Saccharomyces cerevisiae S288C: one gene and its partners. The gene in region 1 interacts genetically with each later gene. Each region holds a gene or a part of one and is shown on either strand. Other genes may lie near its edges.

Evidence for each region.
Region 2: mutations in RPN10 (region 1) and SWI4 together harm fitness more than expected from each alone (negative genetic interaction), as found in Saccharomyces cerevisiae (5 studies listed by BioGRID, with this or other methods).
Region 3: mutations in RPN10 (region 1) and RUB1 together harm fitness more than expected from each alone (negative genetic interaction), as found in Saccharomyces cerevisiae (6 studies listed by BioGRID, with this or other methods).

The regions. Positions count from the first base shown.
Region 1 is NC_001140.6:497,170-503,597, forward strand, and holds RPN10 (proteasome regulatory particle base subunit RPN10), read left to right. Parts: upstream 1-1,909; coding exon 1,910-2,716; downstream 2,717-6,428. Other genes in the region: AIM18 (Aim18p), read right to left, coding at 1-111; AIM46 (Aim46p), read right to left, coding at 321-1,253; NBL1 (borealin), read right to left, coding at 1,402-1,550, 1,618-1,690; PPX1 (exopolyphosphatase), read right to left, coding at 2,781-3,974; SMN1 (Smn1p), read left to right, coding at 5,219-6,428. UniProt on the Saccharomyces cerevisiae protein: Multiubiquitin binding protein.
Region 2 is NC_001137.3:380,116-387,745, reverse strand, and holds SWI4 (SBF complex DNA-binding subunit SWI4), read left to right. Parts: upstream 1-1,869; coding exon 1,870-5,151; downstream 5,152-7,630. Other genes in the region: U6 snRNA complex subunit LSM4, read right to left, coding at 1-514; karyopherin KAP123, read left to right, coding at 5,643-7,630. UniProt on the Saccharomyces cerevisiae protein: Part of a complex involved in cell-cycle-dependent transcription. SWI4 and SWI6 are required for formation of the cell-cycle box factor-DNA complex. The repeated element in the upstream region of HO (5'-CACGAAAA-3') is called the cell cycle box (CCB).
Region 3 is NC_001136.10:731,139-735,506, reverse strand, and holds RUB1 (NEDD8 family protein RUB1), read left to right. Parts: upstream 1-1,582; coding exon 1,583-1,731; intron 1,732-1,804; coding exon 1,805-1,889; downstream 1,890-4,368. Other genes in the region: DOP1 (Dop1p), read left to right, coding at 1-606; MTQ2 (S-adenosylmethionine-dependent methyltransferase), read right to left, coding at 704-1,369; HPR1 (Hpr1p), read right to left, coding at 2,671-4,368. UniProt on the Saccharomyces cerevisiae protein: Ubiquitin-like protein modifier that can be covalently attached to lysine residues of target proteins. Activated by the dimeric UBA3-ULA1 E1 enzyme and conjugated by the E2 UBC12 to substrate proteins.

The sequences.
Region 1 (6,428 bases):
AGTAAAATTTCTTTTGAAACATTGCCAATGGTTGGTTGATGGAGATTTCTGACATTTAGCTAGTGTTCGCTGGAGTGATTTTAGCATATTGGCGCACCTTCCTCTGTCCATGAAGGGATTCTATCGCGGTTGTAACGCCGTAAGAGTTTTGAATTGATTTTTTCTTGTCAAAACCGAATAGCATTGTAAACATTTTGAGGGGTCCCTCCTAGAAAAATTGAGTCGAAAGGAAACTCAAAAAAACATCATTAGAGTATATGTGCAGCTTTTGGAACAGCGTATGTATTATGTAATTGTATGTAGAAGTCGGCGAAAGTGTCCTAAGATAGAGAGACGAGTGCATCGATTACTTCCTTCCTAGCCTCCGGAGAAGGAGGATCCACAGCAGCTAGGTAGTGGGCAAATAAGAGCTTTCCAATAAGGGGTTCCTTCACTGTGCCCAATATCACAAATTCATCCTTCTTTCTTGCGTAGTAAGACAAATTCATAGAGCAGTCCTTATTCAGCTCAATGAAAAAATCATCATCTCGAGCCACAAGTCCTTTTACGCTCCTGAAACAGTCATGCAATTCTTGGAATCCAGCTTCCAGCCGGTCTTTGTCTTGAGACTGAGAATCTGGGTTCTTTAGGACGCTCTTTTTGGTGCCGTCCATCAATAACTTGAAGGAACCTGCTTTTATCGGAGTATTCTTGGACATTAGTCTGATTCCGCTGTCTAAGAGGTTATTAATCAGGATAGGGGCCTTAGCAGGATCGTTCAAAGCCGCACGCAAATTATCCTGATGTGAGTTTTCCGGTGATGGGGGTGCCGCAGTGTCGATGAACGCCTGAGACAGGAACTTTGAGTCCAGTACTTCAGAGACCAGATGTTTGTCTTCAGCGGCCACATATATGCCCAGACCATATGCTTTGAAAGTGATCGATGAGACACAACGTACACCCTTACCAATCAGCTCATATTGCGTGGAGAAGGGCCACTGTGGGGGGCCCATCTTCTTAGGGAACGCAGAGATGGATGCGTCCACTGCAACGCTGGTGGCATCCGCCTTTTTGATCTGGGAATCGTCATACCATTTCTTCGCGAATATGGATGCCAGTGCTAACCCTGTTAACACAGGCACTACTTTGCTGCCCTTCTTGTTCACACGAGCATTGCCCGCTGTAGTAGAGTAGTGAGAATACCATTGTGGGGCCCTCCTCATACCTACCTCTAGGCAATTTGTTTTCACCAAAACTTTACTGATTAAACGCATGTTTCCATATACCTGGCCTTCTGCTAAGTAGACATGTATTCAACAAGGGGATGTAACCACACGCTGCTTTAATACCAACAAATCGGCCGCTGATTAGTAATAGGTGCATCATTGCGAATACCGAGAAAGGGTCCATTATACGAACTAATCATTCTATACGGCGTCCTTCCTGTTCAAGCACCTCTCTGATTAGTTCCTTTGATTGAGGCGCTGATGTTGCATCAGGCTGCTGGAGCAGATTTAGTTTCTTTAACGTCTCCTCTTTAATATTTTCGATCAGTTTTTCTGTTGTTTCCACTGAGGTTGTGTTAGTAATTAGTGCGGGTGAAGGTTGGGGGTAGAGTGTTGCGGTGAGGTGACATACGTTCCAGCTGCATTCGATGTAGTATTGCGCTGCGCAACTTCTGCCGTTCTTCGGGAGTGAGAGCCGGTATCATCGTAACCGAGTGCGGCAGCTGCCCTTTTGCTGATGTTGTTGCCACTTCTTGTTTACAATTGTATTCTCTTGAAGTTATATGGCATTATAGCTGCCGGGTTATTTCCGCCAGGCGGGTTTTCGCCACCGGAATTTACAACTAAATACACACTTATATCAGACTTTTAAAGCGTAAAGAAAGAAGGGAAAAGTCAATAAATAACTCAGCAGTAACCGCACAATGGTATTGGAAGCTACAGTGTTAGTGATTGATAATTCAGAGTACTCTCGCAATGGCGACTTTCCTAGGACAAGGTTTGAAGCCCAGATCGACTCGGTAGAGTTCATATTTCAAGCCAAGAGAAACAGCAATCCTGAGAATACAGTGGGTCTTATCTCTGGTGCTGGCGCCAACCCCAGGGTGTTATCTACGTTTACCGCCGAGTTTGGGAAGATTCTTGCTGGACTACACGACACGCAGATCGAGGGTAAGCTGCATATGGCCACTGCGTTGCAGATCGCTCAGCTGACTTTGAAGCATCGCCAGAATAAGGTCCAACATCAAAGGATTGTGGCATTTGTGTGTAGCCCAATAAGTGATTCTCGAGACGAATTGATCAGATTGGCAAAAACACTGAAAAAGAATAATGTTGCCGTGGACATCATCAATTTTGGAGAGATTGAACAGAACACGGAGCTTTTGGATGAGTTCATAGCTGCAGTGAACAACCCTCAAGAAGAAACTAGTCATTTGCTTACTGTGACGCCTGGCCCCAGACTGCTGTACGAGAACATCGCATCTTCACCCATAATTCTCGAAGAAGGATCCTCCGGTATGGGCGCCTTTGGTGGGTCTGGCGGTGATTCCGATGCCAATGGCACATTTATGGACTTCGGGGTAGACCCATCAATGGACCCAGAACTGGCAATGGCCTTGCGTCTGTCTATGGAAGAAGAGCAGCAAAGACAGGAAAGGTTAAGACAGCAGCAACAACAACAAGATCAGCCTGAGCAGTCTGAACAGCCTGAACAACACCAAGACAAATAGTAGTGTACAAAAATATCTATATGGGTCATATATAAACCAAATAAAGCATATATAACATCTCCCTTCACTCTTCCAGGTTTGAGTACGCTTCCTCTAAATAGGGGACGACTTGCTTTCTGGTGGCCTCGACGTTCAGTTGCTTAAACATCGCCACACCTCCATCAAGATTGCCCCCAAATAATTGAAGTTGGAGCTTGTCGCTAACCCTTTCAATGAGTTCACGTACCACGTTAGAGTCTCCCAATATGACCAATTCTCTGTGTGAATCACCAGCTTTCCTCCATGAAGTCAACAGAACCAATACATCGAGCCCCCTCTCCGCCTGAAATCTTCTGCATTGGTTGACGAAATCTGCTTCACCACCGTGTTCATTGAATAGCCAAGACATTCTTTTTACTATTGATGAAAGACCAATCTCTAACCCTTTGTGTCCCTTTCCTTGGAAATTGAATTGTTTGTAGTCCTTCTTTAGAATATCGCTTACCGAAAATCCTTTAATATCGTTCTTTCTTGATTTTATCTCTTTATAAAACTCACTGCTGTCCTCTAAACCTTGCGCAGACACTTCATTAACCGCACCACTAAGAACAGCTTGGCATCTCTCGATAGCTAATTTATCACTTTCCTCGACTTTGCGCCTCATATTTGAAGTGTCTATTAAGATGGCCCCCATCAAAAGTGGTGCAATGTTCATCACCACTTCACGGTCACCTTGCAATTTTTCATACCAGTAGTTAAAAACCAGCGATGAGCAACTGCCGGACACTTTTACAATCCGAGGTTCAGCATCCAAATGTTTTTGCAAGTCAAAATGGTGGTCTATAATGCCAACGACGTTATCTATATAATTTTTCAAATTCTTTGGTGTATCGTTATTATCTACCAAGTAAGAGTTTAATTCAGTACCCTGGGAGACATTTTGCTTCAAGCTCTTTAAATCTTCAATGAAGAATAATTCCTCCTCCTTAATTTTCAGTTTTTCTAGGACATACATTACGTCTCTTCTTAAACTGAGGTCTTCTCTAGGAATGTCGATAATTGGGACAATAAAGCTTCCTTTCTTTTTCTCCTCCGAGTAAGTACCTTCATTATATATGTATTGGCAGTACGAATAAGTGATTGCACTAGCAATTGAGTCCATATCTGCTGACTCGTTACCAACACATATTGTTAACACATCGTTGCTTGCAATTTTTGAAATTGGCAGTGATTTTAAGTGTGCCAAAAATTCAGGAACCGTCTTTCTCAAAGGCGACATCTTTCTTAACAATCGGTGTTTTGAACTTTTTGATTATTTGTTTCAAGTGGCTTTAGTTAATTATGTACACTTCGTTTCTTTTTTCTACTCTTAAAAGTGAAAAAAATGAAAAATCAGCGGCATGTATAGCATACAGATAATAGGAAAAAGGTTGTGAGTTATTCTTCGAGACTATTTCGACTCGTATTCTAAATTAGAATTCAAGTAGGTGGATAATGTGACAAAATGAATGAAGGTTAGAGCTTTACACAGAGTATTATCCTCGGCGTTTTCTATCAAAGCTTCTGGTTATTCCATACTTTTTTCAAGGACAGCAGAAACATATGCCATTTTACACCTCCTGGGAAAATAATTTGTAATTTTCTAGTGACTCAATGCTTGTTGAAAGTGATCTTGTATAATGAGTGTACACATGAGATGTGCAAATTTCTTCATTACTTAGCGAGAAGTGTACACTCTTGAATATAATAACACTAACAGTGGAATCATCGGTAATAATAATACTATTGATCGTAGTGAAAGCAAAACACGACTGTACTTGAGTTATAAATTTTGTTGCTGTAGAAATTTCAGTGATCATTCATTAGCAACTTATTAAGATGACGATTATATTTTACGGTTCTTTTCACAAACCATTATACTTGCTAAAGGTTGTAAAAGTCATACACTTTTTAACATCAAGATTTCAGTACAACAATTTCTTACATGTAAAATCGTTTGCAAATTAAGTTCGCCAAATTGTATCTTAATTAAAATCTATGTGTTCAGAAGTTGAATATTGGTAAAAAGAAACAAAATGTATAAACGAACGAAAAAGGAAGTGATCAAAATAGAGTAAGGAACCAAGGCATTAGGTTCACCCGAACGTTATCATATATACGCTCATATTATTCCAAGAAAGACACATTTGTCTAGATAGGTTTCGGTAAAGGCGTCCGTAGTTAGAGAGTAGATGGCACTAACTTGAAAGCAGGAAAACAAACAATTGTGTTCCAGAGCAAACTCGAACTTTCTATCTGAACCATTGCATGACGTAAAATTATTATTACAACCATAATGAAACATTTCTACAGTATATCTTTAATATTATTTTTTACTTTAGTGTCCTTATCGATCAGTCGCTCTTTCGCCAACTAGCCGCCAATTGCAAAAGCCGATAAGCTTATTTCCCCTCAAGCCGTCAACAAGAACTACAGCAATAACAAAGAGAGTGAATGCAATAAAGGTGTGCGCAACAGTGTAAAATGATACTAAAGCTTGTACACTGTTTAGTTGCTCTTACAGGATTAATCTTTGCAAAGCCGTATCAACAACAACAGGCAGTTTTAGCGCCGTCGCAGGATGTACCATTAAGAGATATCCATATAGGGGATATAAATTTTATCCATACAACCGATACTCATGGCTGGTTGGGGTCCCATCTATCACAAAACGACTATGATGCTGACTGGGGAGATTTCGTTGCATTTGTAGATATACTTAGAGAAAAAATTTTACGACAGTCCAGAGACGTAATAGTCATCGACACTGGCGACAAACGAGACGGTAATGGTTTGAGTGATGCTACTTGGCCCCCCGGCCTACGAAGCTCGGAGATATTCAACATGATGGATTACGATCTTTTAACGTTAGGTAATCATGAGCTATATACAGCTGAAAGTGCCATACTAGAGTATAGAGGAACTTCTCAGTCCTCAAAATTCAAAGACAAATATGTTTGCAGCAACGTAGAATTTATTGAAGATGACGGAACAAGGGTTCCTTTCGGGAATAAATACATTACATTCGAGACTCCCATAATGAAACAAAGAGTCCTGGCATTATCATTTTTGTTTAGTTTTCAAAGAGCAAATAACAGAGCCATCGTAACACCACCATTGGAAGAAATAACTCAAAAAAGCTGGTTCCAAAATATGGTTGAGACAAACAGAGAGGAGGAAATCGACCTAATTATTGTCTTTGGTCATTTGCCTGCCACTGACCCTACAGAGCGTGAAATGCACAAAATTCATGCTCTAATAAGGAAATACTACCCAAATACTGTTATACAATATTTTGGAGGGCACACTCATATCAGGGATTTTGTACAGCTGGACTCAAAATCTACTTGTTTACAAAGTGGTAGATTTGCGGAAACTGTGGGATTCTTGTCAATTAATATGACTGACCCTGTGGACGCCGAAAGTCCTATTTTCTCAAGAAGGTATATTGACTTTAACAAGGAAGCTTTCAAATACCATTTGAGCAAACTAGGGCATGACTCGAATGTTCCAGTCTCAACGAAAAAGGGTAAAACTATTTCTCGTTTGGTGAATGATCTGCGCCATGAACTAAATTTGAACGAGAAACTGGGGTACATTCCTCAAACTTACTACGTTTCAACAAGGCCATTAAACTCCGAAGAGAATCTTTATCATTTGATCACGCATAAGATTTTACCCAATTTAATTCCTC
Region 2 (7,630 bases), on another chromosome or scaffold:
ACCCACCTAAACCATTGTTCATATTTTGGTTGTTGCTATTGATACTGTTGATACTGTTGTTAATGTTACTGCTGTTGCTGTTGTTGTATTGACGGTTTTGAGAGTATGGACGGCGGTTGCTGTTGCCGTTATTATTATTTCTTCTGTTGTAGTTACCTCTATTGTTGTTTGAATCCCTATTGTTGTAGTATCTTTTATGCCCAGGGCCGTTACTATTAGAGTTATTGTTGGAGTTAATTTGCTGCTTGACCTTGTCAATTATATTATCTTGCAATTTGATAAACTTGATAAAAGTCCCTCTAATATAAATTTCGTTCAATTTTACGGCTTTACTGCTCTCAGCATTGTCTTCTGAATTAATTGCGCTTTCTTCACTATATTCGGTTACATTAGATAAAGTAAGGTTCATCCAGTTATCTACGTTGGTCAATATCCCTTGTATAATTTCACCGTTTTTCAATTCTATTTGCATTTGTTGTCCCTTCGCATTTGTTAAAAGATATAAAGGTAGCATTGAGAAAAAATATTCTATTGTGTTTCTTTTCAGTTCGAGTTGAAGATTTATCAGTTTTTCAACTCTGTTTTACTAATACTACTTCGTTAATTTACTTTTACGATTTCCTTCTTTACCGCTTCCATCATTAGGAAGGTCTATGATACTACGATTTCACGAAAGAAAGCTGCAATAATTGAACATCATTGCTACTCCGTAAAACATGATAGTAAGAGTGCTTATCACGTGACACGTGTGCGGCAAATTTCGTAATTGATGATCAAAATGCGTGTGGGCGGCTACAATGCGGAATTTGCCTTTTTCATAGTACAGGAAACTGGCGGTAAAGGAAAAGTAGTACTTTAAACTCATTTAAAATTACTTATCACTATGAATATCTTTAAATTATTGTTATACATAATAAACTATCTATTAAAAAAAAGATGCTACCCAATTCACGTTGTCCATGGTTATTTTAGAGCCTAAAAATAAAAGGCAGTAGGTTTAGAGGGACTTCAGTACAAGTAGATAACGAACGAAGCAATTACTCTGTGTACGGTGGCGGAAAAAATGAAATGTTACTTAAGAAGGAGGTAATATAAGTACATTACATTTCAACCGCATTGTGACTGCGTACTTTAAACGATAGGTGACTGCGGATCTTAGGTCGTTTAGCAGCATACGAAAATTAGTTTTACTAAACTAGACATCTAGTAAAAGGCTGTCGAAATCTCTCAATTTAAAGAGAACCTGCTACTGACTATAAATTTTGTCACTACAAATTATTGGTTTAATCTAGCCTTCATTATGGATACAATTACCTTCGGCGGCTAAAAACAACTTGATTTTGTTACCCGCGTTTGAAGTGACGCGTCACTAACCATGACGCGAAAGTTAATTATATTCAGCTCCCCGCCTGCTTATTTCCCGTTTAGGAAATAAATGGTTAACCTAACAAAAAAAAAAGAGGAACAAGGACTAAGAAGCACGTCAACGTGAAAAACGCACAAAAGATATTATAGTTATTGCCATCCTTTAGCATTGGTTTAGCATATCAACTAATTGACTAATATTTGCTGCTAAATTCAACTGGAAGCTTTTTTTTTTTTCGAGATAATAAAAAAAGAAACTCTTTAGTGTATTGTGTTATTTTTACTATTAATTGTTGTTACAGCAGAATCACATCTAGCATTGGTCGTCGCTTTTTCAAACGATTCTTCCTCCACTTACCCTTTGAAAAAAAGGTACATTATTTCACGTTATTTGATATATTGTCAACAATAATTGCTCTTTGCCGAAAATTAACTCTTCTTTCTTTCTCATTTCCCTTCTGTCCCTCTTGCGTAGTTCTAAAAGGTTGATTTATTCGAGAAATCATGCCATTTGATGTTTTGATATCAAACCAAAAAGATAATACCAATCACCAGAACATCACGCCAATATCAAAATCAGTTCTTTTGGCGCCTCATTCAAACCATCCAGTGATTGAAATAGCTACGTATTCAGAAACCGATGTATACGAATGCTATATACGTGGGTTTGAAACTAAAATAGTGATGAGAAGAACTAAAGATGATTGGATTAATATTACCCAGGTTTTCAAAATAGCTCAATTTTCGAAGACGAAAAGAACTAAAATACTGGAAAAGGAATCAAATGATATGCAACATGAAAAAGTTCAAGGTGGGTATGGTAGGTTTCAAGGTACTTGGATCCCACTGGATTCAGCGAAGTTTTTAGTCAATAAGTACGAAATAATTGACCCTGTGGTCAACTCCATCTTAACTTTTCAATTCGATCCAAATAACCCTCCACCAAAGAGAAGCAAAAATAGTATATTGAGGAAGACTTCGCCGGGAACGAAGATAACTTCTCCATCGAGCTACAATAAAACACCAAGAAAAAAGAACAGTAGTTCATCAACATCGGCTACAACTACAGCTGCGAATAAGAAAGGCAAGAAAAATGCATCGATCAACCAGCCGAATCCAAGTCCTTTACAAAACCTTGTTTTCCAAACTCCTCAACAGTTCCAAGTAAATTCATCAATGAATATAATGAACAATAATGATAACCACACCACGATGAATTTCAACAATGACACAAGACACAATTTAATAAATAATATTAGTAACAACAGCAATCAATCTACTATTATTCAACAACAAAAATCCATTCATGAAAACTCTTTCAATAATAATTATTCGGCAACTCAGAAACCTCTTCAATTTTTTCCAATTCCGACAAATTTACAAAACAAGAACGTTGCTCTGAATAACCCTAATAATAATGACAGTAATAGTTACAGCCATAACATCGACAATGTCATTAACAGCAGTAATAACAATAATAATGGCAATAATAATAACTTGATCATAGTTCCAGACGGACCTATGCAAAGCCAACAACAACAACAACATCATCATGAATATTTGACGAATAACTTCAATCATTCCATGATGGACTCCATTACAAATGGCAATAGTAAAAAAAGGAGGAAAAAGCTGAATCAATCTAATGAACAACAATTTTACAACCAGCAAGAAAAAATACAAAGGCATTTCAAATTAATGAAGCAACCCTTATTATGGCAATCCTTTCAAAATCCAAATGATCACCATAATGAGTACTGTGACAGTAACGGCAGCAACAATAACAACAACACTGTAGCATCCAATGGCTCCTCCATTGAAGTATTTTCATCAAATGAAAATGATAACAGTATGAATATGTCTTCACGATCTATGACACCGTTCAGCGCAGGAAATACTTCATCTCAAAACAAGTTGGAAAACAAAATGACAGATCAAGAATACAAGCAGACGATATTAACAATACTATCATCGGAAAGGTCTTCTGATGTAGATCAAGCGTTGTTGGCTACTTTATATCCGGCGCCCAAAAATTTTAACATAAATTTTGAAATTGATGATCAAGGTCACACTCCACTCCATTGGGCTACAGCTATGGCGAATATTCCTTTGATAAAAATGCTAATTACCTTAAATGCTAATGCATTACAGTGTAATAAGCTCGGTTTTAATTGCATCACAAAATCAATTTTCTACAACAATTGCTACAAGGAGAATGCTTTCGATGAAATAATATCCATCTTAAAAATATGTCTTATAACTCCCGACGTAAATGGAAGATTGCCATTTCATTATTTAATTGAATTGAGCGTTAATAAGTCCAAAAATCCAATGATAATAAAATCTTATATGGATTCGATAATATTGAGCTTGGGTCAGCAGGACTACAATTTGTTGAAGATATGTTTGAACTACCAAGATAATATAGGGAACACTCCACTGCATTTATCTGCTTTAAACTTGAACTTCGAGGTTTACAACAGACTGGTATATCTTGGTGCGTCAACAGATATATTGAATCTAGATAACGAATCGCCTGCGTCAATAATGAATAAGTTTAATACTCCGGCTGGCGGGTCAAACAGCAGAAACAACAACACCAAGGCAGATCGAAAGTTAGCTCGAAACCTTCCTCAAAAGAATTATTACCAACAACAGCAACAGCAACAGCAACCACAAAACAATGTCAAAATTCCAAAAATTATAAAAACTCAACATCCTGATAAAGAAGATTCTACTGCAGATGTCAATATAGCTAAAACAGATTCTGAAGTCAACGAAAGTCAATACCTGCATTCCAACCAGCCAAATTCTACAAATATGAACACTATTATGGAAGACTTGTCGAATATTAATTCTTTCGTGACGTCGTCTGTCATTAAAGATATAAAGTCTACGCCGTCCAAAATTCTTGAAAACTCTCCCATTTTATACAGAAGAAGATCACAGTCAATATCAGATGAAAAAGAAAAGGCAAAGGATAATGAGAATCAAGTTGAAAAGAAAAAGGATCCCTTGAATAGTGTGAAAACTGCCATGCCATCATTGGAATCGCCTTCTTCCCTTCTGCCGATACAGATGTCTCCACTAGGAAAGTACTCAAAACCGCTTTCGCAGCAGATCAACAAATTAAATACAAAAGTTTCTTCTCTACAAAGAATAATGGGTGAAGAAATTAAAAATCTGGACAACGAAGTAGTAGAAACCGAATCCTCTATTTCTAACAATAAGAAGAGATTGATTACAATAGCACATCAAATAGAGGATGCTTTCGATTCCGTATCAAACAAAACTCCCATAAATTCGATATCAGATTTACAATCAAGGATTAAAGAAACATCGTCAAAGTTGAATTCTGAAAAGCAAAATTTTATTCAAAGCTTGGAAAAATCTCAAGCTTTAAAACTGGCTACAATTGTCCAGGATGAGGAATCAAAGGTTGATATGAATACTAACTCAAGTTCACATCCAGAAAAACAGGAAGATGAAGAGCCAATTCCAAAGTCAACGTCGGAAACTTCTTCTCCTAAAAACACCAAAGCGGACGCCAAATTTTCTAATACTGTACAAGAATCATATGATGTAAATGAGACGTTGAGACTAGCAACGGAACTAACTATTCTACAGTTTAAAAGAAGGATGACAACATTGAAAATAAGCGAAGCTAAAAGCAAAATTAATTCATCGGTGAAGTTAGATAAATACAGAAACTTGATTGGTATCACAATTGAGAACATTGACTCAAAATTGGACGATATAGAAAAGGATTTGAGGGCAAACGCATAAATTTTAATTCACAATGTACCAATAATTTTTACTATATTATCAGAGTTTTTAAATTTTTTTTTTTTTTTTTTGGTAGCAATTTTTTACATATTTGTATAGTCACTTTTCTCATTGCGCTTGAGTTGCTTCAAGTGCATGTCAACAAACATTTGAACTACTAAACTTAGACTATTATGGTTAGCCCTTTGCTAATTATCAGGATGTCTTTTATTACGATTGTGCTTTGTTTTCGTACAATATGATGAATGGAAAGCGCGATGAGATGAGGTCGAAAAAAAAAAAAAAAAAAAAAAAAATAGAAACATCCACTTATCCATAGATCCTTCATTTTATTTGTTGTCAGGTTTGGTATTGATTTTATTAGTCAACAAAAAAGAATAGGCAAGACCCCGCAAGGATCCTTCTTCTCGTTTCTGTATATTACCAAAATCCTGCCTTAGCAGCATAAAAACTGAGGGACGAAAAACACTTTTTTAGTATCAAGTAGTATAATGGATCAACAATTTCTAAGTCAACTTGAGCAAACTTTGCACGCTATCACTTCTGGTGTAGGCTTGAAGGAGGCTACAAAAACTTTGCAAACTCAATTTTATACCCAGCCTACAACTTTGCCAGCTTTGATTCATATTTTGCAGAACGGCTCCGATGATTCGTTGAAACAACTAGCTGGTGTTGAAGCTAGAAAGTTGGTTTCCAAGCACTGGAACGCCATTGATGAATCCACTAGAGCCTCCATCAAAACATCTCTTTTACAAACAGCATTTAGTGAGCCAAAAGAAAATGTTCGTCATTCCAACGCTCGAGTAATTGCTTCTATTGGTACTGAAGAGCTAGATGGTAACAAATGGCCAGATTTAGTCCCTAACCTAATCCAAACTGCTTCTGGTGAAGACGTTCAAACAAGACAAACTGCCATTTTTATTTTGTTTTCTCTGTTGGAAGATTTCACCTCTTCTCTATCTGGCCACATCGATGACTTTTTGGCTTTGTTCTCTCAGACAATTAATGATCCATCTTCTTTGGAGATCAGATCATTATCTGCCCAGGCTTTGAACCACGTTTCTGCTTTGATTGAAGAACAAGAAACCATCAACCCTGTTCAAGCTCAAAAATTCGCCGCCTCAATTCCATCTGTGGTTAACGTTTTAGACGCAGTTATCAAGGCCGACGACACCATGAACGCTAAATTAATCTTTAACTGTTTAAACGATTTCCTGCTATTGGACTCCCAATTAACAGGAAACTTTATTGTGGATTTGATTAAGCTGTCTTTACAAATTGCTGTTAACAGTGAGATTGACGAAGATGTTCGAGTTTTTGCTCTTCAATTCATCATATCTTCATTGTCCTACAGAAAATCGAAGGTTTCTCAAAGCAAATTGGGCCCAGAAATTACTGTTGCAGCTTTGAAGGTGGCTTGTGAAGAGATCGATGTTGACGATGAATTAAACAACGAAGACGAAACAGGCGAAAATGAGGAAAATACACCCTCTTCTTCTGCTATTAGACTGTTAGCTTTCGCTTCCTCTGAACTGCCACCATCCCAGGTTGCTTCCGTTATTGTTGAACACATTCCAGCTATGTTGCAATCCGCAAACGTTTTTGAGAGAAGAGCTATTCTTTTAGCTATTTCCGTTGCTGTTACTGGTTCTCCAGACTACATTTTGTCTCAATTCGACAAAATTATCCCTGCCACCATAAACGGTTTGAAGGATACTGAACCGATTGTTAAATTAGCTGCTCTGAAGTGTATTCACCAATTAACCACTGACTTACAAGACGAAGTTGCCAAATTTCATGAAGAATACTTGCCATTGATCATCGATATCATTGATTCTGCGAAAAACATTGTCATTTACAACTATGCAACTGTTGCTTTAGATGGTCTGCTTGAGTTCATTGCTTATGATGCTATCGCTAAGTACTTGGATCCATTAATGAACAAACTATTCTATATGTTGGAAAGTAATGAATCATCCAAGTTGAGATGTGCTGTTGTTTCTGCAATTGGTTCCGCTGCTTTTGCAGCAGGTTCCGCGTTCATTCCATATTTCAAGACTAGTGTTCACTATTTGGAAAAATTCATCCAAAACTGTTCTCAAATTGAAGGTATGAGCGAAGATGATATAGAACTAAGGGCCAACACTTTTGAAAATATTTCTACTATGGCCAGAGCCGTCAGATCAGACGCATTTGCCGAATTTGCCGAACCTTTGGTTAACTCCGCCTATGAGGCCATCAAAACTGATTCTGCTAGATTAAGAGAATCTGGTTATGCATTCATTGCAAACTTGGCTAAAGTTTACGGCGAAAATTTTGCTCCTTTCTTGAAAACTATCCTACCAGAAATCTTCAAGACACTAGAATTAGATGAATACCAATTCAACTTCGATGGTGATGCAGAGGATTTAGCCGCATTTGCTGATTCTGCCAATGAAGAAGAACTACAGAACAAATTCACCGTTAACACTGGTATTTC
Region 3 (4,368 bases), on another chromosome or scaffold:
AATGACGCATATTTGTTGCACTTTTCCTCTTTAATAAGTTGCATTTTCCACTATTTGGTGTCCAAAGATATCAAGCTCAAGGGAAGCTGCTGGATCTTACTAAGGGTTTTACTTTTAAGATTTTCAGAGTCCCATTTCAATGACTATTGGTCTATGATCAGTTACTGTTTACAAACTAATTTGCAAGAATTTTATGAATCACTTCAAATACAGTCAGAAGTCGATCCACAAACAATATTGCAAGTATGTAAAACTTTGGATTTGCTACTCTTACTCAACATGGAAGGCTTCACCTCTACGAATGAGTGGATCTTTGTTATTGATACAATAAATTGCGTATATAAAACGAACTCATTCGTCGCGCTGGTAGATGAAATCGCAGAATTCAAAGATTACGAAATAACCAAAACTGATGATCTTGAATTACCGACAACTTTAAAAGATGGTCTCCCATTATTACGAGGCATTCACAAAATCGAGAGACACACGCAACTAAGAAGCTTCTTCCAGAATTTGAGTTATCTACATTATGAGAAAGTTTACGGACTAGGGTCAGTTGATTTATATGGTTGTGGTGAAGATCTCAAAAAAGATATTCTGTCATGAGCATAGCTATGAATTTTTCTTTATAAACCGAAATATAGTTATACGCTTTGAGTAAAGACACAGGTTATCAATTATAACGTGAAAGGTTTTGCAACTGTCACCTTGTAAAGCTGTACACACTGAGGACTTCCCATCCCGCTTTTCTCGTTTCAATAAGTTTCACATTCCATTTGTAAGTATCGACAAACCTCTTAATGACTTCTTTAGGCTTATTTCTTGCACAAAATAATATATATGCAACACCATCTGGAGAAAGAATTTGTTCTAATTGTCGTAGCAGTTTATCAGTAATCGCCATCCCGTCTTTTCCACCCAATAACGCTAAATCTAGCCATTGGTCTGCCTCCTCTCTTGATCCTGGGACATCTGGCACACATTCTGCTGGCACATATGGTGGGTTAAATATTAGGACATCAACCTGATTATTCCGAATACTGGAGTTTAAATCAGCTTGAATCACTTCTAAAAAAGAACTTTTACATGAATTTAACTTCGCAGTATCCAAAGTTGCTTCGAGCGCCCATGGGTTGATATCAACAGCTAAGTGGATGGAATTTTCCTGCGGTATTATTTTGTTTTGCATTAGAAATGTTGTGACGATACCTGATCCCGAACCAATTTCGCAAACGATGGCCAAACGATTACCAAATTTCTGTTTCAAAAAATCATGCTCTTTTTCCAAACAGTCCAGTATGAGGAAGCTATCCTCAGCAGGCTCATATACTTTATCGTAATCGCATTTTACATAAGGGGTCGGTAGCATACTTCACCTTTCTCACCCTGTGTTAAGTTTATCAATATTATATTTCAGAGTATAATTATATCAATATTTATATGAAATCAAATTCCGATGGCGTCTTCGGGAAGGCAAACGAACAACTTTTAGCTGAAAAACCAAAATTCTGTTATTCAAATGAAGTATTCCGACAGAGGAATAAATAAAGGAAGGTAATTAACTTCCTTACAGCCGTAACCGATGATTGTTAAAGTGAAGACACTGACTGGGAAGGAGATCTCTGTTGAGCTGAAGGAATCAGATCTCGTATATCACATCAAGGAACTTTTGGAGGAAAAAGAAGGGATTCCACCATCTCAACAAAGACTTATATTCCAGGGAAAACAAATGTATGTTCATTCAGTGGTTAATTATCTTTTAAGTTTATTTACGTTTTTGAGACCTTACTAACGACCAGGATAGTGATGATAAATTAACAGTAACGGATGCACATCTAGTAGAGGGAATGCAACTCCACTTGGTATTAACACTAAGAGGTGGTAACTAGAACCATTTTCCGTCATTTATGGAATTTTATCGAAGGTGTTCATTAGAAAAGAAGACAAAACGAACATAAGTTCACTTGGACTTTGGAAGGCTACCGCCCCCAATTTGTCAAAAAAAAAAATACATACAATTTAGTCTATAGAGTCTGTTATAATAAATTAATTGTTTTTAGACGAGAAATGTGAACTAAAACTGTTTAGTATCTATCAAATTATCCGTTATAGCATAGTACGGCTATATATGGTCTGATTGCTGGTCTCATATGACTTTATGGTTTAAATTTCATAAAGCTGGCCATTGCATGGTTCGCGCTGGAAAGAGAGGAAAAGCGTGGTGATAAAGAGCAAACCAAGCATACTGTTATATGCGATTACAGACTATCTGACCAAAAGACATATTTCGCCATTTCTTCTCAATCATGTCTTCCAGGGCAATTTTGTAAGCACGATTGGATGTCCTCTTGTAGTATACCGAATTTCTCATTAAGAAAAGCATCCTTTGCGCTACAACTTTATCAAGTGGAAGTATATACTAAACTCGGAGCATGCTTTTGCCAACGATATCAGTCTTAGCAAAGGGACTTCTAAGGACGTTATTGACGCCTGATTAATCTAATCAAATATAGGTTTGTCATTTTTTTAAACCGAATGGATTGACTTTTGTTTTCATCATAAGTATTACTCTCTGATAGGATCTCTGTGGTACGCTAAAATCTATCTGAATTGTTTGGGACACTATGCATGAATTTCTTATCAGTTTAAAATTTCTATTAAGAGGATAATTTATTTCATATCTTGGGTAGATGAACCATTAGAAATGTTCGAAGTAGCTGCATTGTTATCTTCTGTTTTTGGATTTTCTAGTTGAGCTGTTGTATTCTGTGGAGCAAACTCCCCGGCAACACCACTGTCAGGATCTTGCGAAGAAACTTCCGAGCTTTTTATTTTGGTATTCTCTTCTGATATTTCTCCCTTTGGTTGCGTCTGTTCGCTCTTCAACTCATCTCCTTCTGTTTGAGAAGCGCTGTTTATACGTTGCGACTTAATTTTTTGCTCTCTTTCAGGAAACGAAGCCTCTTCTTCCAGTGCCCTCTTCTTTCTTTCCTTTCCAATCTTGTACTCCCTAGCATCCTGAAGTTTTTTCCTGTGCTCTTGATTGATTTTGTACAAAAGTTTCTCTTTGAAACTATCATCCAACGCTTCCACTTTTCTGGGTTCCTCGAACAAACCATCAACACCAGTCTTTTCGTTAACTTTATCAAAATCGAACAAGTATCGCGATCTTAGAAACCGTAAAGTTTGCCATTGTCTGATTATTTCATCTTTCGCTTCTCCACCGGAAGTTTCAGAAGAAATTTTTGATTCCCATTTCGCTTGGGCTGCTTCATAGACACCTTCAGGCTTCTTTACTTCTTGCTCAATTTTATCTAGACCAGTAGGTATTTTCCAAACATTATTAATCAATTTATTCCCCATCTTGATGAACGTAAACTTTTTAAAAGTTTCGTCAAAAGCGGGTGGCGGTATCTTCTCCTTAGATATTCTGAAGTTTTGGAATTCTTTAAAGCCATCGATCTTGGCGGTTGTAAACTTTTCGTCAGAAGACATTAATTTGCGGATAACACGATAAAAGTCAGGGTCTTTAATTTTATAAAATTTCAAAACACGATTGTCGCAAATGTATGAACATAAATTGAGCCCACGCTTTTTGTTAACTTCATCAAGGTTCTCAAAATCAATATCGCTCAACGGGTTTTCCCTCAAATAGCAGCTTTTATAGAAATTCCTCGTTTCATCAGAAGAAATTAAATTGCGTATAAGATTTGTTGTGAAACATAGTTGTAAAATGAACTGTTTGCGGTAGTAATCATCGTCCTCTTGAGTCAATTGTTTATAAAGGCAGGTCGTATTGCTCAAAGAGATATCCATAATGGTAGGTCGAAGAGTGTAGTCATCTGATTCTTTAATATTCTGTAGATTCGCCCAAAATTCATTCCTGTCCATTTTCATTGCGTTTGAATGCTTCATATACACGGGTAATTTAGGGGTCATAACATCGTAATTCGCGTAATACTCAGTGTTCAGAGCTTCCTCTAAGGAATATCTAGTCCTATTGTTCATCTTGATTTTGCTGTAAAAGTTCTCTTCGATTTCCAAGATTGCATCAAGAAGGGGACTTAATGATCTGTCCACATCATTTTTATATTCTAAATCGCTAAAAGCAAATTCGATCGGGCAAATAATTAGATGATAAAACACGAAGTTATAATCTGCAGCAAATATAACGTCGGAACTGCGGTTGCTTTCTCGTTCACGTGCTGATCTGTTCCATTCGTTATCAGATTCTTGTAAAGCTGAAATAGAAGCGGATCTATTGAAGTTCGATTCTTCATTTATAGGTAGTAGCTCGGATAAAAAGTTCTCTAGTTTGTATTTCATATTATAATGTTTGACGGTATTAAGGATGTCATTATTCTCTAA